4 linked regions of the Arabidopsis thaliana genome follow. The protein of the gene in region 2 interacts with the protein of the main gene of each other region in a pairwise test. Each region holds a gene or a part of one and is shown on either strand. Other genes may lie near its edges.

Evidence for each region.
Region 1: the proteins of AT4G03820 (region 2) and WAK3 interact in a protein complementation assay, tested with the Arabidopsis thaliana proteins (one large-scale study listed by BioGRID).
Region 3: the proteins of AT4G03820 (region 2) and AT3G25805 interact in a protein complementation assay, tested with the Arabidopsis thaliana proteins (one large-scale study listed by BioGRID).
Region 4: the proteins of AT4G03820 (region 2) and AT5G59650 interact in a protein complementation assay, tested with the Arabidopsis thaliana proteins (one large-scale study listed by BioGRID).

Annotation. Positions count from the first base shown.
Region 1 is NC_003070.9:7,431,095-7,438,647, forward strand, and holds WAK3 (wall associated kinase 3), read left to right. Parts: upstream 1-3,140; 5' UTR 3,141-3,208; coding exon 3,209-4,085; intron 4,086-4,186; coding exon 4,187-4,345; intron 4,346-4,418; coding exon 4,419-5,608; 3' UTR 5,609-5,736; downstream 5,737-7,553. Other genes in the region: WAK5 (wall associated kinase 5), read left to right, coding at 66-1,252; AT1G21245 (Protein kinase superfamily protein), read left to right, coding at 5,748-6,248. UniProt on the Arabidopsis thaliana protein: Serine/threonine-protein kinase that may function as a signaling receptor of extracellular matrix component. Binding to pectin may have significance in the control of cell expansion, morphogenesis and development.
Region 2 is NC_003075.7:1,769,731-1,777,302, forward strand, and holds AT4G03820 (transmembrane protein, putative (DUF3537)), read right to left. Parts: upstream 4,803-7,572; 5' UTR 4,798-4,802; coding exon 4,246-4,797; intron 3,558-4,245; coding exon 3,105-3,557; intron 3,026-3,104; coding exon 2,710-3,025; intron 2,621-2,709; coding exon 2,433-2,620; 3' UTR 2,398-2,432; coding exon of another isoform or gene 2,384-2,397; 3' UTR 2,114-2,383; downstream 1-2,113.
Region 3 is NC_003074.8:9,424,412-9,431,356, forward strand, and holds AT3G25805 (uncharacterized protein), read right to left. Parts: upstream 3,867-6,945; 5' UTR 3,759-3,866; coding exon 3,438-3,758; intron 2,903-3,437; coding exon 2,809-2,902; intron 2,721-2,808; coding exon 2,683-2,720; intron 2,597-2,682; coding exon 2,461-2,596; intron 2,362-2,460; coding exon 1,943-2,361; 3' UTR 1,827-1,942; downstream 1-1,826. Other genes in the region: PP2AA2 (protein phosphatase 2A subunit A2), read right to left, coding at 81-222, 383-462, 543-655, 733-1,372; AT3G25810 (Terpenoid cyclases/Protein prenyltransferases superfamily protein), read left to right, coding at 6,394-6,603.
Region 4 is NC_003076.8:24,028,501-24,037,257, forward strand, and holds AT5G59650 (Leucine-rich repeat protein kinase family protein), read left to right. Parts: upstream 1-2,845; coding exon 2,846-2,927; intron 2,928-3,037; coding exon 3,038-3,575; intron 3,576-3,683; coding exon 3,684-4,139; coding exon of another isoform or gene 4,140-4,162; intron 4,163-4,221; coding exon 4,222-4,416; intron 4,417-4,502; coding exon 4,503-4,574; intron 4,575-4,658; coding exon 4,659-4,730; intron 4,731-4,816; coding exon 4,817-4,885; intron 4,886-4,980; coding exon 4,981-5,147; intron 5,148-5,238; coding exon 5,239-5,480; intron 5,481-5,551; coding exon 5,552-5,678; intron 5,679-5,757; coding exon 5,758-5,823; intron 5,824-5,906; coding exon 5,907-6,096; intron 6,097-6,197; coding exon 6,198-6,600; downstream 6,601-8,757. Other genes in the region: AT5G59660 (Leucine-rich repeat protein kinase family protein), read left to right, coding at 7,187-7,304, 7,412-7,562, 7,648-7,751, 7,814-7,937, 8,102-8,328, 8,406-8,600, 8,706-8,757. UniProt on the Arabidopsis thaliana protein: Required for accurate photosynthesis.

The sequences.
Region 1 (7,553 bases), on a different chromosome or scaffold from region 2:
TCGATGAATATGTTTTGTCGAACAACTCGGGTCTAATGATCTTTGTTTTTATGTCATGTGATCAGGAACCACCATCGGATTCTTAATCATCTTGCTTACCATTAGCTATATACAACAAAAAATGAGGCACCGAAAAAACACCGAGCTGCGACAACAATTCTTCGAGCAAAATGGTGGTGGCATGTTGATACAGCGACTCTCAGGAGCAGGGCCATCAAATGTGGATGTCAAAATCTTTACTGAAGAAGGCATGAAGGAAGCAACTGATGGTTATAATGAGAGCAGAATCCTAGGCCAGGGAGGACAAGGAACAGTCTACAAAGGGATATTGCAAGATAACTCCATTGTTGCTATAAAGAAAGCTCGACTTGGAGACCGTAGCCAAGTAGAGCAGTTCATCAACGAAGTGCTAGTGCTTTCACAAATAAACCACAGGAACGTGGTCAAACTCTTGGGCTGTTGTCTAGAGACTGAAGTTCCCTTGTTGGTCTATGAGTTCATTTCCAGTGGCACTCTTTTTGATCACTTGCACGGTTCTATGTTTGATTCTTCGCTTACATGGGAACACCGTCTGAGGATAGCCATAGAAGTTGCTGGAACTCTTGCATATCTTCACTCCTATGCTTCTATTCCAATCATCCACCGAGATGTCAAGACTGCTAACATTCTCCTCGATGAAAACTTAACTGCAAAAGTAGCTGATTTTGGTGCATCAAGGCTGATACCGATGGACCAAGAGCAGCTCACAACTATGGTTCAAGGAACTCTTGGCTATTTAGACCCTGAATACTACAATACAGGGCTTCTGAACGAAAAGAGCGATGTTTATAGCTTTGGGGTAGTCCTCATGGAACTGCTCTCAGGTGAAAAGGCATTATGCTTTGAACGGCCACAAAGCTCAAAACATCTAGTGAGTTACTTTGTTTCTGCCATGAAAGAAAATAGGTTGCATGAGATTATTGACGGTCAAGTTATGAACGAGTATAATCAGAGGGAGATCCAGGAATCTGCAAGAATTGCTGTTGAGTGTACAAGAATTATGGGAGAGGAAAGGCCAAGTATGAAAGAAGTAGCTGCAGAGTTAGAGGCCTTGAGAGTCAAAACAACCAAACATCAGTGGTCAGATCAATATCCCAAGGAGGTTGAGCATTTGCTTGGTGTTCAAATCTTATCGACGCAAGGTGATACCAGTAGCATTGGCTATGACAGCATCCAGAATGTAACAAGGTTGGACATTGAAACTGGCCGCTGATATTTATCAATCTTTTGTTTGTGAAAAAGTAAAGCCACTTATTTATTGCTTATGTCCTATATGTTTCCTAACACTTCAAAAAAAACAGAGTATCAAAACATGATATTCAAGAACATTTATGCTCGAGAGATCCGTTGTAGATCATCAATTATTCATTTTATAACTCCATTCGATTGGTAAGCTAACCAGTAGACGATTCGGTATGAGAAAAATTAAGAATTCATGAATCTACTAGCAGAGATATTGATATACTGTTGTGGTTGCAAAACAATAACTCGAATTTAAAGGGCTCAGTTGCTTAAAACATCCTATTTGATCCACAGCTTGACTCATATATTGTTTTGGTACTGGCATCTATAATTTAATACTGCGTTTTCTAAATTAACAAAATCATTCTTGCTGCATAAGATTGCTCTGGTTTTGAAGCCATCAAGTTTTCTTATTTTGTTAAAAATTTATGATCTTTAACCATAAGTAATATATATAGTGAAAACATGAGAAAATTTGGTGGATTCTAGAAAAGCACTCTCCGTCAACGTGATCGATATTATGATGAAATGATTACAAAGATGCAATTATATATATCCACGAGCAACAAGACGAAGACAAAAATGTAAACAAGTTAACATATGATTTTGGAATTAGATCAGTAATAAACAAACATATGCACAACTACATGAGAAGTAAAAACTAGTAAACGAGAAATCTCTAACTTAAGATGCGTGGTATGTACGTAACTCCAAAAGAACAACTTGACATTTTTTTTTTTTTTTTTTTTTTGAATGTAATGTTAAATTATATTCAAGAAAAATAACGTTTTTGATACAAGGCTTTGAAAGTATGAAAGAACAACTTGACTATTTGATAAACAACTTGACTCATATATTGCTCTGTTATTAAAATTTTAATACTGCGTTTTCTAAATTAAATTATCATTCTTGCTGCATAAGATTGTTGTGGTTTTGTAACCATCAAATTTTCCTTTTTTGTTAAAACTCTGATCTTTAGTAAATTGAGAAAGCTACCTCTACTATACCCTTAAAATCTCTAAGTCTGGTCTGTCAAAGATTATTTTAATCATCAAACAGTGTATTTTCAGTTTTTTCTCAAGATTTTCCCTCAGTTTCTTTGAATGAATCTGGTTTCTTTCGGTGAAAGAGTGCTGGTCGTAATTGAGTTTGGTTTGTAATATATTACTTAAGTGTCGTGTCTGTTAAGTTAAAGTAGTTATGTTTGTTGTGTCACAAGAAAGAAGAGTCATAACTCTTGACTTTTCATGTCTGTTGGTTTGTATTTAAGTTAATTGTTGTAAACCTTGTAAAACAGTTGTTGTATTTCACTTTCTCTATAATAGAAAGACAAGTTCTTCTCTTTATTGTTATGTTGACGATCAAACCAATTGTGATACAAAGTCTGATTCTCTTTCTCTGTTCTTAACTCTGTTCTGTTTCTAGAAGGAGATTCAGTTTCTAACAAAGTGGTGGATTTGCATGGAAATTTCTCATAGATAACCTCTTGAAGAGTAAGCAGCGACATGACACATGAGGCAAGAACTATTCAAATTCTTCGAAAACTTGTTGACATTTATAAACTCAACACACACACACACACAAAAAAACTACATATTTCTACTATTACGACAGCAGAAGAAAACAGAGCATGTTGTGATCATGATGAGTCTTATTCCTACATTGTCACTATAACGAGACTTTCATATATGAACAATAAATTGGAGTTTCCTGGAAAAATCAAGACAAGAAAGAAAGGACAGATAAAGAAGTTGACGCATTTATATTTTTCTAACGTCTAGTAGTCTGAATCTTTACTTTTCTTCACATTTGATTATTCAACAATGTCAAATCAGGGGTTACTTTTCAAGCTATAAGAAGCGAATAAGCGATGAGAGAAAACTCAAAGAGAAACAAGTTTAGAGAGAAAGAAAGAGAAAGGTAGAAGATGAAGTTCCAGGAGGGTGTGTTCTTGGTGGTTATTTTCTTCCTTGCATATACTCAGCTTGTGAAGGGGCAACATCAACCTCGCGAAGATTGTAAACTTAAATGTGGAAACGTCACAATAGAGTACCCTTTTGGTATTTCTACAGGTTGTTACTATCCCGGAGATGATAATTTCAATCTCACCTGTGTCGTGGAAGAGAAGCTACTACTCTTTGGCATCATTCAAGTGACCAATATTTCTCACAGTGGCCATGTAAGTGTACTGTTTGAACGATTCTCTGAATGCTACGAGCAGAAAAATGAGACTAATGGAACTGCCCTCGGGTATCAGCTGGGTAGTAGTTTCTCTCTCTCCTCCAACAACAAGTTTACTTTAGTAGGATGTAACGCTTTATCACTTTTGAGCACTTTTGGAAAGCAAAACTACTCAACTGGATGCTTGTCATTATGCAATTCTCAACCAGAGGCAAATGGAAGATGTAATGGTGTAGGTTGCTGCACAACAGAGGACTTCTCTGTCCCGTTCGATAGCGATACATTCCAATTTGGCTCAGTTCGCTTGAGAAACCAAGTTAATAATTCCTTAGATCTATTTAATACTTCGGTATATCAGTTTAATCCTTGCACCTACGCTTTTCTCGTTGAAGATGGTAAGTTTAACTTCGATTCTTCAAAAGATCTTAAGAATCTGAGGAATGTCACGAGGTTCCCTGTGGCACTAGATTGGTCTATTGGAAACCAGACATGTGAGCAAGCTGGAAGCACAAGAATATGCGGTAAGAACAGCTCATGTTACAATTCTACTACTAGAAACGGGTATATCTGCAAATGTAATGAAGGTTATGATGGGAATCCATACCGTTCAGAGGGTTGCAAAGGTACTTCATATTAATTTCTTTGCTTTCTTTCTTCTTTTGAGTGTTTATAATCTTCCTCATACGTTTTTGGTTGCATCTTGTGCACTTATTCCTTTGGTCAGACATCGATGAGTGTATTAGTGATACACATAACTGTTCGGATCCAAAAACCTGTAGAAACAGGGATGGAGGCTTCGATTGTAAGTGTCCATCTGGTTACGACTTAAACTCCAGTATGAGCTGCACGAGGCCCGAATACAAACGGACTCGAATTTTTCTTGGTAAACACTCTTCACTGGTTCTAGATTCTCTTTAAATCAACTCGCTCTAATCATCTATGCATGATGTTATCAGTAATCATAATCGGCGTCTTGGTCCTCCTGCTTGCTGCGATCTGTATACAACATGCAACGAAGCAAAGGAAGTATACCAAGCTCCGACGACAATTCTTTGAGCAAAATGGTGGTGGCATGTTGATACAGCGACTTTCAGGAGCAGGGTTGTCAAACATTGATTTCAAAATCTTTACTGAGGAAGGCATGAAAGAGGCAACTAATGGCTATGATGAGAGCAGAATCTTGGGCCAGGGAGGTCAAGGAACAGTCTACAAAGGGATATTGCCGGACAACACTATCGTTGCTATAAAGAAAGCTCGGCTTGCAGACAGTAGACAAGTAGATCAGTTCATCCACGAAGTGCTCGTGCTTTCACAAATTAACCACAGGAACGTGGTCAAGATCTTGGGTTGCTGTCTAGAGACTGAAGTCCCCTTGTTGGTCTATGAATTCATTACCAATGGCACCCTTTTCGATCACTTGCACGGTTCCATTTTTGATTCTTCTCTTACATGGGAACACCGCCTCAGAATAGCGATAGAAGTCGCTGGAACTCTTGCTTATCTTCACTCCTCTGCTTCTATTCCAATCATCCATCGCGATATCAAAACTGCAAATATTCTCTTGGATGAAAACTTAACTGCAAAAGTAGCCGACTTTGGCGCTTCTAAGCTTATACCAATGGATAAAGAGCAGCTCACAACTATGGTGCAAGGCACTCTAGGCTATTTAGACCCAGAATACTATACCACAGGGCTTCTGAACGAGAAGAGCGATGTGTATAGCTTTGGGGTAGTCCTCATGGAACTGCTCTCAGGTCAAAAGGCATTGTGCTTTGAACGGCCACAGGCTTCAAAACATTTGGTGAGTTACTTTGTTTCTGCCACGGAAGAGAATAGGTTGCATGAGATTATTGACGACCAAGTGTTGAACGAGGATAATCTGAAGGAGATCCAGGAAGCTGCAAGAATTGCTGCAGAGTGTACAAGGCTAATGGGAGAGGAAAGGCCAAGGATGAAAGAAGTAGCTGCAAAGCTAGAAGCCTTGAGGGTCGAGAAAACCAAACATAAGTGGTCGGATCAGTATCCTGAGGAGAATGAACACTTGATTGGTGGTCACATCTTGTCTGCACAAGGCGAAACCAGTAGCAGCATTGGCTATGATAGCATCAAAAATGTAGCAATATTGGACATTGAAACTGGCCGCTGATATTGCTCACAAAATCACATGTATCTCTTTTGTTTGTAAAAAAAGAAAACCACTTATTTGTTGCTTCATCAATATGCTTTGAGAGCTTGTTTGTTCATCATCAATAATCATGTTCATATTTTCCTTTACTTGGTATACTATGGTGCAAGGCACTCTAGGCTATTTAGACCCAGAATACTATACCACAGGGCTTCTGAACGAGAAGAGCGATGTGTATAGCTTTGGGGTAGTCCTCATGGAACTGCTCTCAGGTCAAAAGGCATTGTGCTTTGAACGGCCACAGGCTTCAAAACATTTGGTGAGTTACTTTGTTTCTGCCACGGAAGAGAATAGGTTGCATGAGATTATTGACGACCAAGTGTTGAACGAGGATAATCTGAAGGAGATCCAGGAAGCTGCAAGAATTGCTGCAGAGTGTACAAGGCTAATGGGAAAAGAAAGGCCAAGGATGAAAGAAGTAGCTGTAGAGCTAGAAACTTTGAGCGTCAAAACAACCAAACATAATTGGTCGGATCAGTATCGAGAGGAGAATTTACACTTGCTTGGTAGCAACATCGTGTCTTCCCAAGGCGATACCAATAGCCGTGGTTATGACAGCGTCAAGAATGTAGCATTGCTTGACATTGAAGCTGGCCGCTGATAAATTTTGTTTGTTAAAAAGTATATTGTTTAATTCTTTATTGTTTATCTCCTTTTGTCTTTATAAACATAACCAGAATATCAAAACATGACATTCAAAAACATTGATATCCTTGTAGATCATCCATATATACTCATGTTCACAATTCTCCTATATTTTTATATGCTAACCAGTAGCTGATTAGGTATTAGAAAAACTACCTAGAGTTCATAAATATGATTCCATACGACATTAATATATCATTGTGCTTAATTATAAAGAAAAACAAAACAACTCGAGAAGAAAAAACACTAGAATTTAAAGTAGGCGTCAAAAACAGAGGAGAGTAAGTATACTATGAATATGATCATCGAAATCTTCAGCACCTGGTCGAGTTCATCGTAGATACCGCTTCCTCAAACCAAACCATATGATTCTTTGTTAGTTGCTTGGTAAACTAAAAAAATAAAAGACTCATTTGGTGCAAACTTCATATTTGATCTACAGCTTGAGTCATCATGTTTCGTTACTCATCTACAACCCATCATTCTTGTTGCATAAGATTGCTTGATATTGTATATCACATCAAATCTCTTAATTTGTTTCTTGTTAAAATATATGATTTTTAGTAAGTGTTAGTCAGCAATCCTACGATTATTGGCAGGTTAGTCACCAATCAAAGCATGATCACTTGTTGTCTACTTCCATTTGATTACCCCAATTCATGTTTATTGACTTACTAATAATACCAAGCACGTATTCAGACTAAAATTATCTTAGAACCAACTTCAGTGGATGAAGATAAAAGTTGGGGAAAGTGCAGACTCAAATATTAAAGGAATCTCAATTCTCAGTTTTAACTTTTACTTGTATGTTTGGTAATGCTTTTACCTTTGGTTGCATGCTGCAAAAGTGATTTACTCTGTCCCAAGACTGAACTTCAACTTGTGTATATGATTCAATTAGACAAAGGGAGAGGAAAGTAGTGAGTTTTTGTCCAGCTCACTGACAATGTATCGATATGATGTCTTTAGACTTTGCTTTTTCGTGTAACTACTCAATTTATGCAATGATGAATCAGTTTTTGTCTTGTACCTGCGTTTAATAAAAAGAAGAAGAGTTTTACAAAAAACAAGAGTATTTTCTAGTCATAGACCTAGTTAGTCTCTAACTAATGGAGATGCCCTAATGTCCCACGATCCGGAGAAACATGTAAAATCCGTTTTCATCGTCATTATCGTAGTTATTCAGTTAACATGAGCTATATATTTAACTCTTAAGATTAGGTAAATGTATGTTTCCTTTCTTATGGAGTAAAAGATCAAT
Region 2 (7,572 bases):
TTTTCGACAGATCGAGGGTTTTGAGAAGCCCATTTGCTTTTAGATACATTTTTGCATATAATGTCCATGTCATATAATTTTTCCAGAAACATCAAAGACAGTTATATCAAGCTTTGCCAAGTTCGACATGATAACTATATAAATAATATGATACAATTTGTCAAATTAAAATTTTATTATAAAAAAAGTTTTCCAAAAGCTTGTTTTCATAATAAAGCAACATAAAAATAATTTATATATTATAAGCTATAATATAATAAATTAAAAAAAAATCATTGTAGGAGGTATACTCTTTCATATGATTGTAGAAGAGGCGTAGCTTTTCATAGGATCAAGGAGGCGGAGACTACCATTTGATCCAAAATATAGATCTGAACATATGATCGCGGAGGTAGAGCTTACCGTTATGATCAAGGATGTAAATTTTATTATACGACCAAGAGGCAAAACCTACTATTATAATCGAGAAGAGGATATAGTCTTTTACTCCATATATATATATATATATATATATAATTTTTAATGATTTAAATTATTCAATATAATTTAAATGTTACCTCAAAAGCAGATCTAGAGTCGTGCGTGCTAGCGGATCGAGAGTCACTCGTGCAGATAACGTGTTGAATATTATATATTCTTTTTTTTAACGGCAAATCAATTATATTATATCATAAAAGTTGACATGATACATAACCAACCAAATACAACCATTGCAACAAATAAAGGAAATTGAACACAATTTCGATGAAGAAGTGGAAATGACCCTGCTTTCCGAACGGAAGCCTTACAGGCAACATAATAAATCTTTTAAGTCCCCTCTTCATACACTCGCAAGAGACTAAGGCTAACATCTTATAGATGAAACTCCTAAATGCTTTCTGCATTACTGTAAAAAATCTGATATGTTGTTAGATATGGTTTTGAAACATGACTTCTGAAATGTCGTTCGCATCTTTGCTGTTTAGTGACCATGGTTTCTCTTCTCATAGAACCTAAACTTTCCGACCAAGCGAAAGAGATAACATCATCATCAATGGATCGTGTCATCGAAAAGAGGAAGCCTTCGCCTTCGAGATAAAAATAGGTTGTCCCAACTCTAAACAGATTAAGACTGAAGATAAGTAATAATCTAATCTTAGATCGAAAGCCATACCCAATTCGAAACATGTGAATGCCTTCAAGCGACAAGGTTACTCCATTGATTCCGGGATCGAAAACCCAAATGATAACTCCACATTGCAGAGAAAATTCATCGGTTGATAACTGGAGATAATGCCGGTGTGAGAGACCACCGTATACAAACCTTATACAAGGACAATCAAAATTCAAAAGAATCGATATAACACACGATCAGAAACATCGACAAATGGATGCATTTATCCGTGAAATCAAGTTGAATTGATAGGCTTTCCAGATTGAAGAATGAATCACAATCGATAGTAATGATGTACCACCGTCACGATGTGGCAAAGAACATAAATTTGAGATTTTCGGTTTGCCGTTATTTACCACAAGAAACTGAAAACTTTGCAGAAATTAGAGAAAAGCAATAACAAACACGAGAATAGCCGACGCTAGAGAGACCGACGCCGGCCAAAGTGATGAAGTTTTGTGAAGTTGCCTTCAATGGCAGATCGCTTGGGAGAGAGAACGGTTGTCGAGTCGTTTGCGTAACAAAGTGATATTGAAGGGAAGTTAAAATGAGTAATTTGGCTAACAAAATCGGAACTTTTATTAGATTTTGGACCTTAATTTTTAAATAATATATTCAAATTTGTTGTGTGTTTTCAACTTTTTATATTATATATTCTAATATAATATAATATTATAGAAGTAATAAAATAATAAAGAAAAAAAGTGACGAGAGAGTAATAAAATAGACTTCTTATTGTGTTGTGATACTTACAATGAACTGAAGAGAACCAACGTATATATACAAGAGTTGCTTGAAGAGAAAGTTAAATTTAGATAATAGGATAAGTTTTAGTTAATTGGAAAATAAGATACTTAGGAAGTAAGTGACAAAAATAATAATAGTAGTATTTATCTAATCTCAACAGTATCTAAATAATTTGTGTTAATCGTAAAGTTTTATCACACAATTTACGAGAATATCACAAAACCATAATCATACATTTCACGCCCGGATTCATCAATGAGACCAAACATAGGTTTCAAAAATCAGTATTTACACACAATCAATAAATATGATCTGGATACATATATATAACTCAAAAAGGATCAAACATTGATTTACATACACACGTTTTATATTTGTATATATAGAAGATCTACAAAAAGAATCTGTTATATCGCCATTGTTGAAATAAAAACATCTTAGTACCAATCTCTTCGTGTGTGTTGTGTGACACTGATTCTGTCTTCATGTTATGTTCACTGCCAAAAACCAAAAACATGAAGAATGTTATCGGTTACAAGAGGAAAGTGATGAAAAATGAAAATATGGATTCAGAGTAGAAACATATAAAATTACTGATTGTCTTTTTGAGCAGCCATAGAAGAAGAGCAAGTTCGATGCTGAAGATCATACGCAACCATGTTTTATCCACCAAGAATCCGTAAACAGTGATCCCTGCTCTGTTGTTCTCTAGATAGGTCACTAAATATATACACAATAGAGAAACCAAATCAGTTAAAAAGGTGAAAATGATTTATTCCAATCATAGTCTAATTCAAGATTTTATTTACCTAGAGCTTGACGTTTCTGAGAAGAAATGGCGCGGGCAAAGATTGGATGTATCTCAAGATCATTGTCATCTCCTTCTCCTTCTTCATCATCATCAGACGATTGAACAACATTACGACGACGCGATAAAATCTGGGAATGTTGTGTAGTTGTTGGACATTTAGGAGTCTCTCCGTCATAAAGAACATCAAATGTATCTAAAGACGCGCACACGTTCCACTTTGTGGCGATGCTCGTTACTGATTGAGCTTTGTGAGTCATTTGTGTTGCACTTTTCAAGCATATGAATAGTCCTGACACCAAGCTTGTGGAGCATAACTGTAAGAAACAGAGACATTGATCAATATAATGTTTCAAAAACTTGCATCCCTATATGAAAGTGAAGAGGAAATCTTACCGCGAGCTCGCCAACTTCGTAGATATTAAAGGGAACACTAGCTCTGATGGTAGTCAGCAATGCCATGAACTGAGTGGCAGTGACGAAAAACAATGACAAAAGAATGAATCGTCTGAACCGGTGACTGACAATCTTCAGTTCACGACGGATTTTGAGATGCTCGGCGAGTATGGAACTGAAATCTTTGATCTCAGAGGCGAAGCAGCGTGCGAATTCATCAAGACGGAGGACCTGGAGGTGGCAGATGTTTTGGTAGAGGATACAAGCAATGATGAAGAGTGATGTACGGTAGAGCCAAGAAGAGAGCTGGAGTGTGCAGGCTAAGACATGGCTCAGCGTTGGGTTTATAATGTAAGGGATTTGGTTAAAGCCTGAAGCATACCACCAAATGCGATAGATAGCTTGAAGCGTTGTCGATGGAAGGACAAAGATAGCTAGTAGCTTCATTGATCTCTGCAACAATAAAACAGAGGAGACTTTCAAAAACATCAGGATTCGAGCCTAAGATGCAATGGCACGGTCAAGACTTAAAGTTCTAGGCCTGCGAGTTCGGTCAATGTCTCGGTTATCTCGGTATTTCGGTTAATGAAATTCTCCGAATCGAACCGATTTTCCCCGGTTAAAATCGGGTAAAATCGGTTAAATTGGTTGGGATTAAAAAAACATCAAGATTTGAGCCTAAGATTCAATGGCAGGTCAAAACTTAAAGTTCTAGGCCTGCGAGTTCAGTTAACCAAACCAAACTGAGTCGGTTATCTCAGTATTTCGGTTAATGAAATTCTCCGAATTGAACCGATTTTTTGGGTTTTCCCAGTTAAAATCTGATAAAGTAGGGTAAAATATGTTAATTTGGTTGGGATTAATATATGTTTTGGGTAGAAATCGGTTTATTTTCGGTATAGTTTTGATTTTTAGGCAATTGATCGGTTTAGGCGTACCGAAACCGAGACGTAAACCAAATATGATTCAATCTCTCCAAATTGAACCGACTGATGAACCGATTTTGAAAGAAAACTGAAATAACCGGTTCTTTACAATCGCTTCTTATTCCACTAGTTACCAATTTTAATCCCAAAAATTACGATTCTTAATCATGAAATTAGATTACTAATACTATAATTAGTCGATACGTTTAATTTACCTGGATTTTAGCTTCGTATCCGATCCTAACTTTATCGCTAACATCTTTAAGCTTATCGAAGAAGAGAAACCTTCGGATTCCATATTTCTTGGACCAATCTGAGAGACTAACGAACGAGATTCCGGCGAAGATCGATAACGAAAGCTGCACTAAACCGTCGTAAGGACGACGGTGTTTGAAATCGCAATCGGCGCAGATTAGCACGAAGTGTGAGATCATTGGGACGATGACGGCGAGGAGGAAGAAGATGGACCATGAGAGCAGAGTTTTGATGCGATTTGATTGATCAAACCAGAGGAAGAGTCTCGGGAATGAGAGTTTGGTGGCTGGTGATTCCGGTGGTTTTTGAATCGGGTCGGGTCGGGTCTCGGAGTTGAGGATTTGTTGGTTTGATGATTCTTCCATGGTCGGGTTTAGGAATAAAATCTGCAGAGGTTTGGACTTTTTGACTTGAAATGAAAGAGAAGCTAATAAGTTACGGCACTTTGGATTTTTGTAAGCCACCTGTACCAAACAGCATTTATAATAATAATAAAATATATTCTTTTCCATTAACGTTCGCAATTTCCGTTTAATATGTTTTTTTTTTTTTAACACCGAATCAATTATATTATATTATAAAAATATTATATAATACATGATACATGAAACCACTCAAATACGAATAAAATAAAAGAAATTGTACAATTTTGATAAAAAAATGGAAATGACCCTGCTTTCCAAACGGAAGCCTTACAAGCAACAGATGAAATCTGTTAAGTCCCCTCGTCATATACTCGTAAAAGGCTAACATCTTATAGATGAAACTCCCAAATGCTTTCTGCATCACTTTGATTAAACGAACACACGGATATGTTGCTTGAAATGGATCTCGATCATGTATTTTATAACACTCTACCCATCGTCGCCGGTTAGTGACCATGATTACTTTTTTCCATAGAATCCGAATAAATAGATCGTTTGACAGCGAGTACATCACCATCATTAGACCATGAACATGAATAAACGGATCGTTGGACAGCGAGTACATCGCCATCATCGGACCATGTGTTTGAGAAGAGGAAATTATTGTCGATGCCAATTCCTTCACTCAAAAGAATTTGTCTATTGATTCCTGGATCAAATACCCAAATGACTTCTCCAAACCATAGATTTGAAGAAACTTCATCGGTTGAAAACCGGAGATCACGTCGGTGAGAGAAACCACCGAAAACAAACTTTAGATAAGGAAATACACCATGATTCAAATGAATCGACATGACATGGGTAAAGAGACATTGGTGGGATGAATTTTTTCTGATTTCGAATATAGCAACGGGTTTACATGAAACTGGTAATTGTATGTCTCTGTTCTAAACATGACAATAAACACCGTCACCATTCGAAAGGAGAAGATAGGACGAGCAGAAATCCAATTAAGGGGAATATCTCCCATCACAATATTAAAAACAAAAGAAGAAAGGAGTAGAAAAGCAAAAAAACTACCGGCAAATGCCGGCAGCCTGTTAAAAAAAATGAAACAGGAAACTGGTTTTGTTGGTCGCCTCTGTAGTCGCCAAGGGAGAGAGGGAAGTTGTTGATTCCGTTTAATATGTTAATTTATCTAAAATTAGTCAAAGTGAAACTGAATTTAAAGTCTAAACTATGGTGACGATGGAATGGAACAAACACTATGGTCAAGAGATTTGGAGTGATATAGTTTCTTTGTTTTTTATCAGAAAATTATTTAGAATCTTTTTTTTACCCAATTCATATCCGATTTCAGTTTCAATTTTGTGAATTGTTGTTCGGTCTATTTGGACTAAACATATAATTATGTTAATATTGTAGGTGTAATATATATAAAAAAAAATTCGTCAGCTATCTGAAGTGTAGCAGACCACATCATAGTTTTTAAAACATTAAAACTAAATTAACAGTTACAAGACATATCATAGTTTTTAATATATTAAAAATAAATTAAAAGTTTATTTTTGAATATTTTTGTTGGTCAACGCCACAATCAGTTGATCGGTTAACCTTAAATTCTTTGTTTATGATGTTAATTACATAACGTCATACATTTCGTATATGTAGTCATGCAATTTATATACGCCAGATAGCTGATTTTCTTTATTTTATTTGGTATGTGTTACCATGTATTTATTATATCTCTTATCTTATGTAGCAGATGATTGATTTTTCTAATATAAATGAAAAGTTAAATATTTTTGGGATTATGGTTTCTATTAAACACAAGTGATCTTTTTTTTTTAAACGCATTACATGACTAAACTGTTTTTTTTTTTACCTTCCAACTAAATGTGTAGATCGGATTTAAACGCATATGGGATATCAATTTTATATCTACGAATTGTCAACCATCAGACTAATAATGTATATGCTATTATAGAAAATTTGGTCCCCCATGTGTCCTCCACTATTATAAGAGAAATAGTTTAGACGACAAAAAAATGCCACATTTCGTGGTTTATACAATGATTGATTTGTTATCTAAAAAACCTTACATTTATGTGTTGACATTTCAATTTCATGACAGACAAAACACGTCTCTACTTTTTAAGTAAACTCACGACACATGGAACTGTTTTACCGGAAATTTCATGCTTAAAATATATATGTGTGGCATTGTGTATAGCTTGAGCCAATTCGGTTGGGGATAGAAAATGGAGATAAAAAAAAGGTTATCGACTGATTTCGATCGGTGATAAATTAGTAAAACTAATATGTAGATATTTCGAAAAAGTAGTTTTTTAATAGAAATATATGAATTCATATAGTAGAAACGGGCCGTTTCAAAATTATATTTGACTTTGTGTTCAAATTTTTTAACAAACAAATTTTATATAGAAATTAAAAAATATGGACTCCTTTTGAGAAAATTTGAGAAAAGGAAAAAATTGGTGTTTTTGCATCTTGAATACATGCCTTAAACTGGGCCTGATAGAAACTACAAACATAAGTAATAAAAAAACATTTTTACAAAAAAAGAAAAAAGACTAATAAGATCAAACTAATTTAGCGTAATAAAAACTTATAAAATGATACAATTATATAAACTTATTTAAATTGCATGATAATTATGGACAATGTTATGTTTGGTGAGATTAGAAAATCGTGGGATTGTAATATTCAAAAAATCGAGAATAGCCACGATAGATCAATAGGATTGAGGTAAAAATGTTATTTGAATGAGTGTTCTAGATTTTCTAATTCTTCTTTCTTCTTTTCTTTCAGTAACTTTTTTCTCTTTTTGCTTTTAAACTTCTTGAAAAAAAATCATTCTTCAATCATTAACATATTTTATTATATAAAGTATGGTTTTCA
Region 3 (6,945 bases), on a different chromosome or scaffold from region 2:
ATCATCAGTAATATGCAACAACTATACGTTGATTTTCTGTAAGGAACTTGGAAAACAATTGAATTCTCTTAAGCATGTACCTTCACACAGGGGAGAATGTGCTGGATAGCAATTTCAGGGTTTAGAATCCGACAAAACTTTGTAACTTTTCCGGCAGCTGCTATGCGTACTTCAGCTTCATTATCACGAAGTAGGCGCACATATGCAGGCACCAGCTCCGTCCTTAAAATAGAAGACACAGTAAATAGTATCAAGAGGAAGTAAATGGGATCATCAAGTTCCTTAAGCCTATTGGATGATATGCATTTCTATATTGAACATTAAATTAGCCCATCAAAGGTATTAAAACATGCTGCATTAGGTTTATGCAAAACGTTCTTACCTAGTAGGCTCAGGTCCCACGGCTTCACAAAGCTCGTAGAGTTGATTTGCAACCATATAGCGCACACGCCAAGACTTATCCTGCTCAGTGAAAAAGTACAAAGATTAAGCATTTCTTTTAAATGTAGATCATCAGCATAAAAGCCTACAGACATAATCACCTGCGAGAAATTAACAATCACGGGAAGAATGTGTTGGACACAATCCTGAGGCTCCAACAATTTCCCAAGAGCAGCACAACCCTCAACGGCCAATAATCTAACAGAATCTTGATCTGATATGAAAAAAACGTAAGATGAAATTCGACAAATATATATGCTGTAGAGTAAATAAACGCTCAGTGTTCAATACCATCTTGAGTAAGATCCTCAAACATGGACATAACGTCGGTCTTCAAATGCGCTGATTCAACCGTAGCAGCAAATTTCCCAAGATTAGTTGCTGCAGCTCTCCTTACCATCGGCATATCATCCTGACAAAGCTGAGTATACAACGATCTTAACTCAGTCTTCAACATATCCGGCGCGCTCGGGTATGCAATATGGAAAACACCGCAAGCCGATACTCTAGCTGTGAACCACTCACCAGCGGCAAGTCGCTTAACTAACGAAATGAAATGATCAACCAAGTCACTCTCCCTCATCTGAGAGCCAACTCTACAAAGCGACTCAACAGCTTTCTCCCTAACACAAGTTTCTTCGACAGTCGAAAGAGTTTCCAAAGGTGGAAGAAGAACATGTGCATACTCAACACCACCAACATAAGGAATAAACACACCCAATTCTTCAGCCATTGCTAATAAAACCTCATCATCATCGTCATTGTTTTCGCTAAGGAAAGGGATCAATTCCTTTCTAGTCCTCTCTTCCCCAAGAGCACGAGCGATCGTAGAAAGCCTTCTGATGGAATTCAATCTTAGCTGAATATCATCGTTTTTTAACTCGTCTATAAGTACGGCGATTGGGTACAACGGCTCATCGATCATAGACATCTTCAACAACACCAACAACAAAATTACAGCATAATTATAACGAGATCGTAAAATCAATTTCCAGAGCCCAATTCTCAGGAGATGATCAATTAGGCGAATCTAAATTACCATTTCTATCAAAAGATAAACAGACCAACAATCAAATCGGAAATTGGGTCTTACCTCAACACAAACACGGCTCAATTTTCTCCTCAACGAAACACAAAATTTCGTTCGACCTACGAAGAAAAAAAAGAGGATCTAATGGCGAAATGTCTCTTTTCTTTATTGAGAGCAAACGACGACGTCTTTATTTAATTGGAACCATACCCTTCTTAAATGGGCTTTAACGGGCCTTTTGGCCCACGACGTTTATGCTGTTTCGGTCAGGACTTTACTTTTGCGATTCATTTCTTGCAATTTACCAATTTTATAGAGTTTTCACTATTCCTTCGTGAAATATAAATTCAAATGTGGAAAAAACATTACCGATACAAATGATAGAATTTTCTAAAAATGACATAACAAAATTTCCATAATATAATTACATTTGTTATAAGTACAACGACAATATGTGTGTATACTAACAAATTAAATTGATTCATCTTCGAGATTGAGAAACAAATGATATGCAAGTAAACCAAAAACAGGAACAAACCTTAGATACTTCACCAATTCAATCTTGTTCTTCTTCACATTTTGCAGGTTCTCTCCAATCAACCATGGCTGAAAGATTGTGTACAGACATATATCCCATATAAACGCGTAAGCTAGTCTCTCCGATCCCAAATAACCAATCAGATACTGCCATCTGTCCATGATTCCACCGAAATCACCATCTGCTCGACCGTAGAGAGACCACAATGCTGATATCAGACACACCGTAGCTCCGGTCAGACCAACTATTGGTGCACCTTTGGTCATCACTTCACCAAGTTGAGACCTTTTGCTTGGTTTATCATCTGGGTCAGCGTCATTGAGCCGTAAAGCCATGTATGGGATTAGAAACGCTGTTTGCAACATGAGATCAACAGAACCAATAATCTAGTTTAGAGGGTTGCTTTCCAGAGAAACTGAACTTCTTAAATAAAAACTAAAGTTGTATTTACTGTTTGTAAGGAACATCATGAGACTCCATAAGACGTCAAGAGAGCTTTTGTATCGATTTCTCTTTCGGTCTGTGTATAGCAATGGAGCAAACATGAGTGTCCAAGCTATTACAAAGTTGAATAACCCTTCAGCCATCTGTTGAATTTAAAAAAAAAAAAACAATTTCAGAACGATTTACTTTCACTAATACACAAAAACCTGTTCAGCTCAAAGGTACAAACCGGGTGAAGAACAGGAGCTTGTAAGAAGTGAATACCAGCTGTTCTGTCACAAAGTCCATAAGCAAGAAACTTTCATCAAAGATCAAACAGGTAAACGAAATCGATATATCTTAAGGCTGAACATACCGGCGTTTGTAAGAGGCAAGACAAAGAAGAAATTCAGAGAAAGTCCCAAAAGAGAATTCACTGTCTCTGAACTAATTGCCCAAACTGGATCTCCCTGTTGATCATAGAGATTATTTTCTAATTAAGCAACCATACAAGATTACACAATCTAAGATAATGCTAACCACAAGCACATATCATGATAATCTATAGAGAGAAGAGCAAATCTCAGTAATAAGTTGAAGATAACAACAAAACTATTCGATTCTCAAAGCATTCAAGCAGAGAAATTGAAAAAGTTCTCATTCCTAAAATCATCCAAAATCCAAATTACTTTTGAAGATTCATCAATGTGATGCTACATAAACCTTCCAAACATTCACATAATCCATAGATAAATTAGTAGCCACATAGAACTATGGCTATATCAGGAACTATGAGTATGATTCAAAAAGAACAAACCTACTAGATTCTCAAAACATTCAAGCAGAGAAATTGAAATGGTTCTCAATTCCTAAAATTATCCTAAATACTTTCAAGATTAATCAATGTGGTGATTCTACATAAACCTTAGAAACATTCACACAGATATATCAATGTCTCAATCTCAGGAACTATGAATACGAATTTTTGAAGGTATTATCACTCACAGGAGCGTAAGGGAGAAGAAAGAGCCATAGTATATACACAGCTTCACTAGTCCATAGAAGATACCGAACAATTCTCCTTATAGAATCATCTTCAACCTCTACCGTCGCCGTCTCCGGTTTCCGGCGAGCACAGCATAAGAAGGAACTGTCTCGTGTTCGTAATTTGAAACGATTCGTAGACTGCCATGGATTGTAGCAGCGATCGACTGTGGAGATTTCTCTACTCCGAAGAAAATGGCGGCGAATTTGTGGCGATTTGATTTGGGAACTGTGGAGACGGTGACGGAGATATGTCAACGTCGGTGAGGTTATCAGAATCATCGTCGTCCCTTCACTGCATTATCCACCGTTTAGTCGGAGAATTTTTTTTATTTATCTGAGAGAGACTTGCTAAAACGGCAGCGTATTGGTTATCTAAATTTGAAAGCAACGACGTCGTTTTAATTGAATCGAATTACACATTACAGTTGGCTTTAAACAGGCCATTGGCCCACGGCCTTATAAAACGCCGTTTCGGTGAGACACTGAAATTGGATAGTCACATCATTATTATGGGTGCTAAGCCAAATATCTTTTTCATCATTATTATTCGACATTCCTCAATTTTCGTCAACTTCTTTTAACAACCCCAAAATCATGGTTATATAACTTTGCTTTATATCTAGAGGCTTAGTTAAATAAATAAATAAATTCAAAATTAAAAGAACATTGAATCATGTAGGCAAGATTCAATTTCAACTATTTTGGTTAATTTTATTATTTATTTTCATTTAATTATTGTGGAACGTATGATTTATTCATGTAGATAGTTTTCTAATCTCATTAGAATATCTTATCATATAATTTAAGTGTGGACCAAAACATAATTTATTTCTTCTACGTTATTTCTCTTTTTTTTTTGTGTGCAAAATACTTGTATTCATTCAATCAAGAAAGAACCAAATACAAAGAGAACTGACTTATTTCTCTATATGTAAATTATTGAAGAAATTATACCTTTTAAAAAAATAAAAATGTATCGAGATACATTTAAATTTCTGTTGTATGTAATGTGTATACGTGTAATCCAATTTCTTGGGATTCTATATAATTATTTATGTTGTTATGGTCTGTACAAAAATATCACATGCTTATAATATAAGAGATATTTCTTTTATACGTATGTATTCTTTTAATGGTTTTTAATATAGCAATATTAAGATTCATTGTTCATCTAAATAAGTTTTTATTAGTTAGCGCAAAAATAAAAACTCGTTTGGAGAAACAAAAAATGGTTAAAGCGATTAAATATTGTTTTTCAATACATTAAAATTGTTTGCCATCTTCTAAAGTTGTTTACTCACTTCAGAATACATATGATACTCTCTAATGGGAAGAATCCCATGAGCCAAAACCAATTGTCTTTGGAGTAGAAAAAACTTATAGATCTTTTTGTGGAATCATAACCCTAGATTCAGTAGGGTTTATTGAAAAAGGAAAAGATAATACATATCCTAACAAGACATATCCAAACTAATCCACAAAAAAACTAGACGATTCGTGATATATTGGAGATATCAAATGTACGATGTGGCTTCGAATTCCTGCCAAATTCAAAGGGATCTAAAAGGTCTTTAATGATTCTTCATATGTCATGAATTTCTACTACATTGGGATGAAAGTAAGTTAGTTAGTTTTTATTTGTTTGCTTTTCATTTTTGCTAAAATTTTTGATGAATTTTATCAAATATAAAACACAGTAGCGTAGACTATATTGTTAAATTTTTTTTGATGAATTTTATCAAATTTAAAAATACAATAGCGTGATTTTGAGAATAAAGCCTATAATTTTCCTTCATACGGCTTATTGAGTATACATTAGAACTATATTTTTTACAATAGGATAACATAGTTCTGAAATGAGTAAATTGAAAAGAGTTTTTGAATTGATTGAAGTATGATTCTGGTTGTTTAGAAAAAAAAAAAAAATTAATAAAAGAATTAAACCATTATGTGTGAACTGTGAATCCAAATATTGTTCTTTTTCTCACTTTTATTAGTTAATCACTGATATATCTCATCAATCATAGATATTGTTTGCAAAAATACTTAAACCGTTTTGTGTACATTACGATCACAAAACAAGAGAATCACATAACCTTTTTTTCAAACTAACTTTTTTTATTAAGTTGAATCAAATAAGTTTACTTCTATATTATTTAATTATATCTCTCTACAACATTTAAAAACCAACACGTAAATTCGTATTAAAATAATATGGAAATTGTTTTTTCAAAATCCTCTACACATATAAGTTATTTGAATCATTAAAACGGAGTTACAAACTTTTTTTCTTCGATTATCAATGTTTTTCTCCTAAAGAACAAATGAAATCGACGACAACCTAATTTTTTTTGGCATGTCTGCCAACAAAACTCATAGCCATCAGATTGAACTGTCTTGTAATCAAACTTGAACTGTCTCCATCACTTAATCTTTGTACGCAGTTTTTATAACTTCTATATTTAATCATGTAGAAGATTTTAATTAGATAAATTTCAGTTACAAAAAGTGGATATTAGACATTGCGAAAAGAGTATTGACATGCAGCAAAATTGGGTAAAGTTTGTCACACTATTTAATTGAATATACTTGAAAAATAACTATTTATCTGGTAATCTTGTAAATAAAGATATAATAATAGATATCTTTAAATAATTGACTATGATTTATAATTTTATATGGTGAAAATAGAAATAAATTTGGTAAATAAGATATTGTAGTTGGCACATACACAAAAATAAACTTCAAGTTAAACCAAATTGGACAACCTATTGAAAAAAAAAAAAAACAGAAACAAAATCATGTACCGAAATAGTGTTCTAAGTCATCATTCTGACTCTGTCTATATAAAGTTATAAACGTATGTGTTCTCCAATATATTCAGCCAGAAAGAAGAGAATCTTATACTAATTCAATGGCTACTTTGTGTATAGGTTCAGCTCCTATTTACCAAAATGCATGTATCCATAATTTTCGTCTTCAACGTCCTCGTCGTTTCATATCCAAATCCATGACAAAAACGATGCCGGATGCTAATCCTCTTGACCTCCGTCGACGCTCGGGCAACTATCAACCTTCTTCATGGGACCATAGTTATCTCCTCTCCATCGAGAACAAATATGTGGTAAAGTATTCGTCATTATTAACGTTTCATTTGGTGACGTTTTTAATTACAAAAGTTGTTACTACACATGTAAATATTTTGGGAAAACTGACATGTGCATGGTTTTATTGGATCAATATTATCTGACAGACTATTTTTCTCATGAACTCTGGTTAGTATACATTTCATACATAGATATATATATATATATATATATATATATAAGAACATTTGGTTATACTTTTTTGTTAAAGGTATTAAGATAACTAATGTATTAAATATTTAACAAAAATGATTTATATATGCTATTAGATCATAAATCTGATTTTCTTTCTCTAAAATATCTCTTAGTAGCTAGTATTA
Region 4 (8,757 bases), on a different chromosome or scaffold from region 2:
TTTGTACTTATTATTTTGATCGACACATCAAGACAAAAAATCGAGCAGGAGATCGACACTATGATGGTGGTAATCAAGAAGATACACATGAGTTTGATGGAGTTCCAGATATATTTTCTCAGGCAGGAAGAGACAGTGGGAAAGAAAGTGAGATATGGCTCCAAGATAAAGATTACCATATCGCACATAGATATATTTTGCGGAACTGCGATCAATTAAGACCATTTGAAAGGTATGACAAAATAATTTGGACATCTGTATGGATTTTGTTTTTTTTTGTAGAATTAGTAAAAGACATTGTAAATATTTTTCATGGTTATATATGTATATATAGGTTGTTTGATGAGAGCTTGATCGCGGCTAATCCTGGGATAAGTGAAAAAGATCTAAATGAGCTTAGAGAAAAGCAATATTCAAGCTGGTTAAAAAAATATGTAAGATATTTTTTTTTTATATGAGATAAATACTTGATAGCTTATAATATAGTATGTGTCTTTTTATATTGAATCAGGTGGAGGATACTTGGAAGGATAATTCATATCCAGAGTGGTTGTTGAGTATTGTTCATGGTCCAATGGTTAAAGTTACTTGTTGGCCAATGTATTTTTGTCGTGGATACATATTTCATACATATGATCATGGAAAGAACAAAAAGAATGCCAATTATGGAGTTTGTGTCAAAGGTACAACATCTTCTAGCTCAAATGAAGAAGCTGATTTCTATGGAATATTGAGAGAAATTTATGAGCTTCATTATCCTGGACATGTTGATCTCAAGGTCGTGGTCTTCAAGTGTGATTGGTATGATTCAAAAGTTGGGAGAGGTATACGAAGAAACAAGTCAGGGATTATTGATATTAATGCTAAAAGGCATTATGAAGAGTATGATCCTTTTGTTTTGGCTTCACAAGCAGATCAGGTATGTTATGTTCCATATCCACGGATGACTCAGCCGAGAAAAGATCAACAATGGGAAGCAGCAATTATGATACAACCGAGAGGGAAAGTATTGATAACAAAAATCTGGATTTCACTGCAATGCAGCATGATAACGATGATTCTATTGTTGAAGTTGATTCATTACAAATCGAGACACTATCATATCTAGATGCCCAACCAGAAGATCTTGATGATCCAGTAGTAGAAGCCGAAGATGGATCAGATGCTGAAGATGGAAATTCTGATATCGAATTAACTAGTGACGAATCCGAATAATTTTTTTTTTCATTTGGACTTTTTACAGCTTTTTTTGTATTATCAAAAACATTGTTTCCAAAACTGAAGAAGTTTTTTTATTTAATTTTTTGTTCACAAGTTTTTATTTTTGTATTAAAATTGGTAACACTTATGTCACAATCTATGACCAAACGCAAAAGTCACTAAAACAGTGACAAATTGTGTCATCGTTGTTACAAAATTCTCGTAACTATACATGACATAAATTCAGTCACAATTATCGTATAATTTAGTTACTATATTTGGTCGCAAATCCGTACTTATATTTATGACTATATAATTTGTAACAAATTTGACATAATTAGTGACAAACATTAGTTACATTCAATTAAGTCATAATATTATAACGAAATAGTAACGTTTTTATGACCAAATAAATACGTCACAATTTTGTATGAAAATGGTCACAATTTTCTGACGAAAATAATGACCGTAATTTTTTCGTAAGAATATCGATTTCTGACCAGACGCTCTTCAATATCCGTTAGTAGTTGTGACACTTGAATGTGGTTTTGGACATGTCACCAGAAACTTGTCTTCAAGTGGTCTAACTGGAACCATGGCTGCTGCGATTCAAAATCTTACGCAACTAGAAACTCTGTAAGTAAGCTTGAATAATATACATACCGTTGCGTTTAAAAAAGCTACTCTCCAGCGACCGTGTTTCCAGCACTCCAAATTCATTATTTTCTGTTTAATGGGCTGATAAAACCCATGTTTGGCCCATAACAATTATTTCTGTTATTATAGCAACGTTGAAAAATATACATACCGTTGCGTTTAAAACGCTACTCTCCAGCACTCCAAATCGCCAATCGCGTTCTCAAACAGTGCTAATCGCCGATGAAGAGGTCTCATTGTCATCGCCGTCCTTCTCACGACGGGAGATTTCGCTGCCGTATATGGCCGATTTATCTCCGGAGATTCCTCACATTCGTCCTCCTCCTCACAAAAGTTATTGGGCCGGCTCAAAGAGATGGAATCAAAATTCTCTCAGTTTCATGGCCGGAAGGTAATTTCTCAGTTTATGATGTAACTGAAAATCCTTTAAAAATTTGAACTTTATGATTTTAGATATCTGATAATGGCGTCTTTGTCTTGAAATTTGTTTCTTCATGTTGACCCACTTCTCTTTAGATAATAGTCATTGTTGATAAATGTGAATCCTCTGCTTTGTGATTAGAAGCTGTTCTTGTCGATGAAGACGTCAAAATGTGTATTAATTAGTGATAAATTATCCGATATGATTCAATCAAAGTCACTGACCACTAGAAAGTCAAATCTCTTGCTTTCTCTCTGTGTGAACATTTTTTAATGCGTTAAAAGAGTGGTGACTGTAAAACCCTCTATTGACATATTCTCTTAAAAACACAGAAGTTGCATATTATTTTTTCTAAATACAAGTTGCATATATTCTGACATTCTTGGGACAAATCAAATTTGTAATTGTAAAGTTGCAATAGAAAACACATTTACTCATTCGTTTCACTGACTCAGGACATCTTGCCATGTTGCCAGAGGCTTGGACTGTTTCTTGGGTTTATCTATTTATACGCTGTGTTTCTCTCAAACTCTGGCATTGGTAAGGTTTTGATATCTAAAAGCAATTATGGATAGTCCTTGTTGGCTTTTGCTGCTGCTATTAGGAGCTTTTGCCATTATTGGTTGTGTTCAAGCTCAGGATCAACAAGGTACCTAAATCTTAATGGTTTATATGTATATTACACTACTACTTCTTACTGATTCGAGTCTTAGTTATGTTTGTATCTGAGATGCTTTTGATTTTTCACTCTCTTAACAGAGTTTATCAGTTTGGATTGCGGGTTACCCATGACTGAACCGTCTTCTTATACTGAGTCAGTAACCGGACTACGGTTCTCGTCTGATGCTGAATTCATCCAGACTGGTGAAAGTGGTAAAATCCAGGCGAGTATGGAGAATGACTACCTTAAGCCGTACACGAGGCTGAGGTATTTTCCAGAGGAGAGAAGGAACTGCTATAGTTTGAGTGTTGACAAGAACAGGAAATATTTGATCAGGGCTAGGTTCATTTATGGGAATTACGATGGTCGTAACTCTAACCCGATATTTGAACTGCATCTAGGACCTAATCTGTGGGCAACTATAGATTTGCAAAAGTTTGTGAATGGTACAATGGAGGAGATCCTTCACACTCCAACATCAAACTCTTTGAACGTTTGTCTTGTTAAGACAGGGACAACTACACCCTTGATCTCAGCCTTGGAATTACGGCCATTAGGAAATAATTCTTATCTCACAGATGGTTCTTTGAATCTTTTCGTTCGGATATATCTCAACAAGACAGATGGCTTTCTTCGGTAAGTGTTTTTTTTTTGGTTAACAGTGATGGATTCTATATTCCTATACTCTTTATTTTTAACATTCCTATACTTATTCAAGGATAATACAACCTTTGTTCCACATAGGTACCCGGATGATATTTATGATCGCAGATGGCATAATTACTTTATGGTGGATGATTGGACCCAAATTTTCACCACTCTCGAAGTGACCAATGATAACAATTATGAACCACCAAAAAAGGCTCTTGCAGCGGCTGCCACGCCTTCTAATGCCAGCGCGCCATTGACAATCAGTTGGCCACCAGACAATCCTGGTGACCAATATTACTTGTACAGCCACTTCTCTGAGATACAAGATTTACAGACCAATGATACCAGAGAATTTGACATATTATGGGATGGAGCTGTTGTTGAAGAAGGTTTCATCCCTCCAAAGTTAGGGGTGACTACTATCCATAATCTTTCTCCAGTGACATGCAAAGGAGAAAATTGCATTTACCAGCTAATAAAAACCTCGAGGTCAACTCTTCCTTCTCTACTTAACGCTCTTGAAATCTACACAGTTATCCAATTTCCACGGTCGGAAACAAATGAAAATGATGGTATGTTACTTATCTTCATTGTTATGCAGATACAGTCTGTTTTTTTTTTTTAACTAGAGAAATCAACTTCACCTGCTAATTCTCACATCCTTGAGCTCTACATCAGTGGTTGCTGTTAAAAATATCGAAGCTGCCTATAAATTGAGTAGAATCAGGTGGCAAGGAGATCCTTGCGTCCCTCAAAAGTATGCGTGGGATGGTTTGAACTGTAGCAACAACACAGATGTTTCTAAACCTCCAAGAGTATTATCCTTGTAAGTCGTAAGATCCAAGATATGAACATGCACACTTTGACACTTATCTTCAAAATAAGTTAACTATCATGCTTTGGAATCACCAGAAATTTGTCTTCGAGCGGTTTAACTGGAATCATTGCGGCCGCAATTCAAAACCTTACACATTTAGAAAAACTGTAAGTATGGCCATAGTTAATATTGGTTTTGTTGATGGAGGAAAACCTAATGAGCTCTACTTTATTTTGGAAATAAACTTTTAGGGACTTGTCAAATAACACACTAACTGGAGTGGTGCCGGAATTTCTAGCCCAGATGAAATCGTTGGTGATCATGTAAGTTGCTCAGCATATTTTCGTTTACTTTCAGTTCTCCTTTGGTTCATGTGTCTGTATGCATGAAGATTGCTCTTCTTTAATAGAAACTTAAGCGGCAACAATCTTAGTGGTCCCCTTCCTCAAGGTCTTCGAAGAGAGGGACTAGAATTACTGTAAGAAACTTCCCACGTACTTTTTAATATTCCACAGTTATTTTCCACAGCCCTTTTGTGATTTGATGTTTTTAACAACACTCTTTTTCTTGCAGAGTTCAAGGCAACCCAAGGCTTTGTCTCTCTGGTTCCTGCACAGAAAAAAACTCGAAGAAGAAATTCCCGGTGGTGATTGTTGCATCAGTTGCTTCTGTGGCCATAATTGTTGCTGTGTTGGTTATTATTTTTGTTCTCAGTAAGAAAAAGTCATCTACTGTGGGAGGTAATTTGCAGGAGATCTCTCATCAAATCAAGAAACTGCAACAAATCGATGAATTCTTACATACCCTACTTTTTTTCTTTCTTATCTATAGCTCTACAACCTCCACTGAGTATGCCAATGGTTCATGATAATTCACCTGAACCATCAATCGAGACGAAAAAGAGAAGGTTTACTTATTCAGAGGTTATCAAAATGACGAATAATTTTCAAAGAGTTGTAGGGGAAGGAGGATTCGGTGTTGTTTGTCATGGTACTATAAATGGTTCTGAACAGGTGGCTGTTAAAGTTCTCTCTCAATCATCAAGTCAAGGATATAAGCATTTTAAGGCAGAGGTATGCATAATCTTCTTAAAAATATGACCATCTAACGCTTTCTCTTACTTTTATTTCCCATGAATGATTAGGTTGATCTTCTTCTACGAGTTCACCATACAAATTTGGTGAGTCTTGTTGGATATTGCGATGAAAGAGATCACTTGGCTCTCATCTATGAGTTTTTGCCCAAGGGAGACTTAAGACAACATCTATCTGGTAAACTTGAATTTCTTCATGATTCGAAAGTGTATATATGTTTCAACGTTCCCAAGGATCTAAAGAATCAAGTATTCAGGAAAAAGCGGTGGGTCCTTTATCAACTGGGGTAATCGTCTACGAATAGCTCTGGAGGCTGCACTAGGTTCGTAAGCTTATTAGCCAATATTGGCAGCTTAAAATGACTTTCCTTCTGGTGGACTAACAAATAATCATTCCTTTGAATAGGATTGGAATATCTACATTCTGGATGCACACCACCAATTGTACATAGAGATATAAAAACGACAAACATATTGCTGGACGAACAGTTAAAGGCCAAGCTTGCCGATTTCGGCCTTTCGAGATCTTTCCCTATTGGAGGTGAAACACATATTTCAACTGTGGTTGCTGGTACTCCTGGATACCTTGATCCTGAGTAAGTGTCGTTAGTTACCATTACAATGTGCTGAAAGTGAGTTGTCATTTTGCACTTTATATATTGGTTAGAGAGTATAACCATGTACTTTTGCCGTGCAGATATTACCAGACAACTCGACTGGGTGAGAAGAGCGATGTGTACAGCTTCGGAATTGTGTTATTGGAGATTATCACAAACCAACCTGTGATTGACCAGTCCCGTTCAAAGTCTCACATATCACAATGGGTTGGATTTGAGCTTACCCGAGGAGATATTACTAAGATCATGGATCCAAACCTGAACGGGGATTACGAATCTCGTTCTGTATGGAGAGTTCTTGAACTGGCAATGTCGTGTGCGAATCCTTCTTCTGTGAACCGACCAAACATGTCCCAAGTTGCTAATGAACTGAAAGAATGTCTTGTTTCTGAAAACTTGAGGGAAAATATGAATATGGACTCTCAGAATTCTCTTAAAGTGAGCATGAGCTTTGACACAGAGTTGTTTCCGAGGGCAAGGTAGTATGTGCTGCAGGTAACACAACCATGCTAATTAGTTGGGCTATTGGTCATGTTTGCTTTGATCATCCACATGCCAAGATCATATACCCTGTTACTTGGTGATGTTTTCATTATTTTATGTGTGCTTAGTGATGTTTTCATTCTTTGTATGTGTGGCTTGGATGCTAATAATCATTGACCGTAAAAGAGTATACCTCTTTGTGGTTCCATCATTAACAAACAAATGATTTTGGTTAAATATTTGTAAAATGGTTGGAAGAGTATTGATTTAAAACTGTCAAATAGTATATAAAATTAAAGAAACAGATTATGGATTGTGATTTCTCAACATACATTTATCTGTACTCTGAAATTATTAGGCTCACCATTCACTTAAGGCTATGTCAAATATAATTGATGTGATAGTTTATTGCTTAACGTGCTTCTGGGTCTGCTCCATATCTTCCATGATTGAGTTCATGATAGTGATGTTGGGACTTTGCTGTCCTCTTTTTCTTATTCATTTTGTTGAATAGAAAATGCATTTACTCATTTCTTTTGGCTTGGCAAAGTCTTTCTTTCGGCTTTTACATTTTCTTCCTAGCCAAATGGTTTTCTTGATTTTTCCTTGGAAGGTTAGAGAAGATGATTATATGAAGAATTCTCTTGGCCTTTTGTTCCTGCTAGTCTCCATCATTCATATTGTTCGAGCTCAAGACCAACAAGGTATCAGAAACCTTTTTTTTCCCTTTTAAACACATTCTTTTACAAACTTTTTGGTTCTCAGAAGTGCATTGTTTTAAAGAATAATCTTTATAAATGTCTGCCAACAGGATTCATCAGTTTGGATTGCGGACTCCCTGCGAATGAACTGTCTCCTTATGAAGAGAGTTTCACTGGACTGCGGTTCTCTTCGGATGAAAAGTTCATACGTAGTGGAAAAAACGGTCGAATCCGAGAAAATCCTCAGGGATACGCTAAGCCGTACGCTGAGATATTTTCCAGATGGAATAAGGAACTGCTACAATCTAAACGTTGAGAAGGGCAGGACACATTTGATTGTGGCTAGGTTTGTATATGGAAATTATGATGGTTTTGACCTTAAGCCAAAGTTTGATCTGTATCTTGGACCTAATCTATGGGCCACGGTGGATTTGCAAACAGAAGTTAATGGTACAGCGGAAGAGATCTTACACATCCCAACATCAAACTCTTTGCAGATTTGTCTTGTTAAGACTGGGGAAACTATACCGCTAATATCGGCTTTGGAATTATGGGAAATGGTTCTTATATCACTAAGTCTGGTTCCTTGAATCTTTTATCACGAACATATCTTAGCAAGTCAGGATCTGATCTACGGTAAGTTAACTTCAACTGATCATTGTTTGTTCTTTCTGCTCTGTTTCAATACAAGGGTTGTTTTCATTGACACTTAGAAAAGGTCATACATAAGGTTTTAAGGCAATCAATATGATCATTTTTTTTTGTTTTACTACTAAAACAACATTGTTTCCCACCCCCAGCTACATGAAAGATGTATATGATCGCACATGGGTATCATATGGAGCCAGTTTTCGGACGGGATGGACCCAGATTTATACCGCTCTTGAAGTGAACAATTCCAACAATTATGCTCCACCGAAAGATGCGCTAAGAAATGCTGCCACACCGACTAATGCCAGTGCACCATTGACGATTGAATGGCCTTCAGGAAGTCCCAGTCAGGAAGTCCCAGGGACCAATATTACTTGTACGCACACTTTGCTGAGATCCAAGACTTGCAGGCAAATGATACCAGAGAATTCAACATCCTATTTAACGGAGAAGTTTTTTCTGACCCTATCATTCCTAAGAAACTTGACATAACTAGTGTCCAAAGTGTGACCCCAAAAACTTGCCAAGAAGGGAAATGTAGTTTGCAGCTAACAAGAACCAACCGATCAACTCTTCCACCTCTACTTAACGCTTTGGAAATCTATGCAGTCATCCAGTTCCCGCAATCCGAAACAAATGAAATTGACGGTATGTCTTATGGTTAGTGATCTAGGAAACAAAACATAAGCATGGTACTCATGTATGCATTTTTCATGTATTACTTTCTAACATCATCGAAACTTTTTATGTCAGTGATTGCTATAAAAAAGATTGAAGCCATGTACGAATCGAGTAGAATCAACTG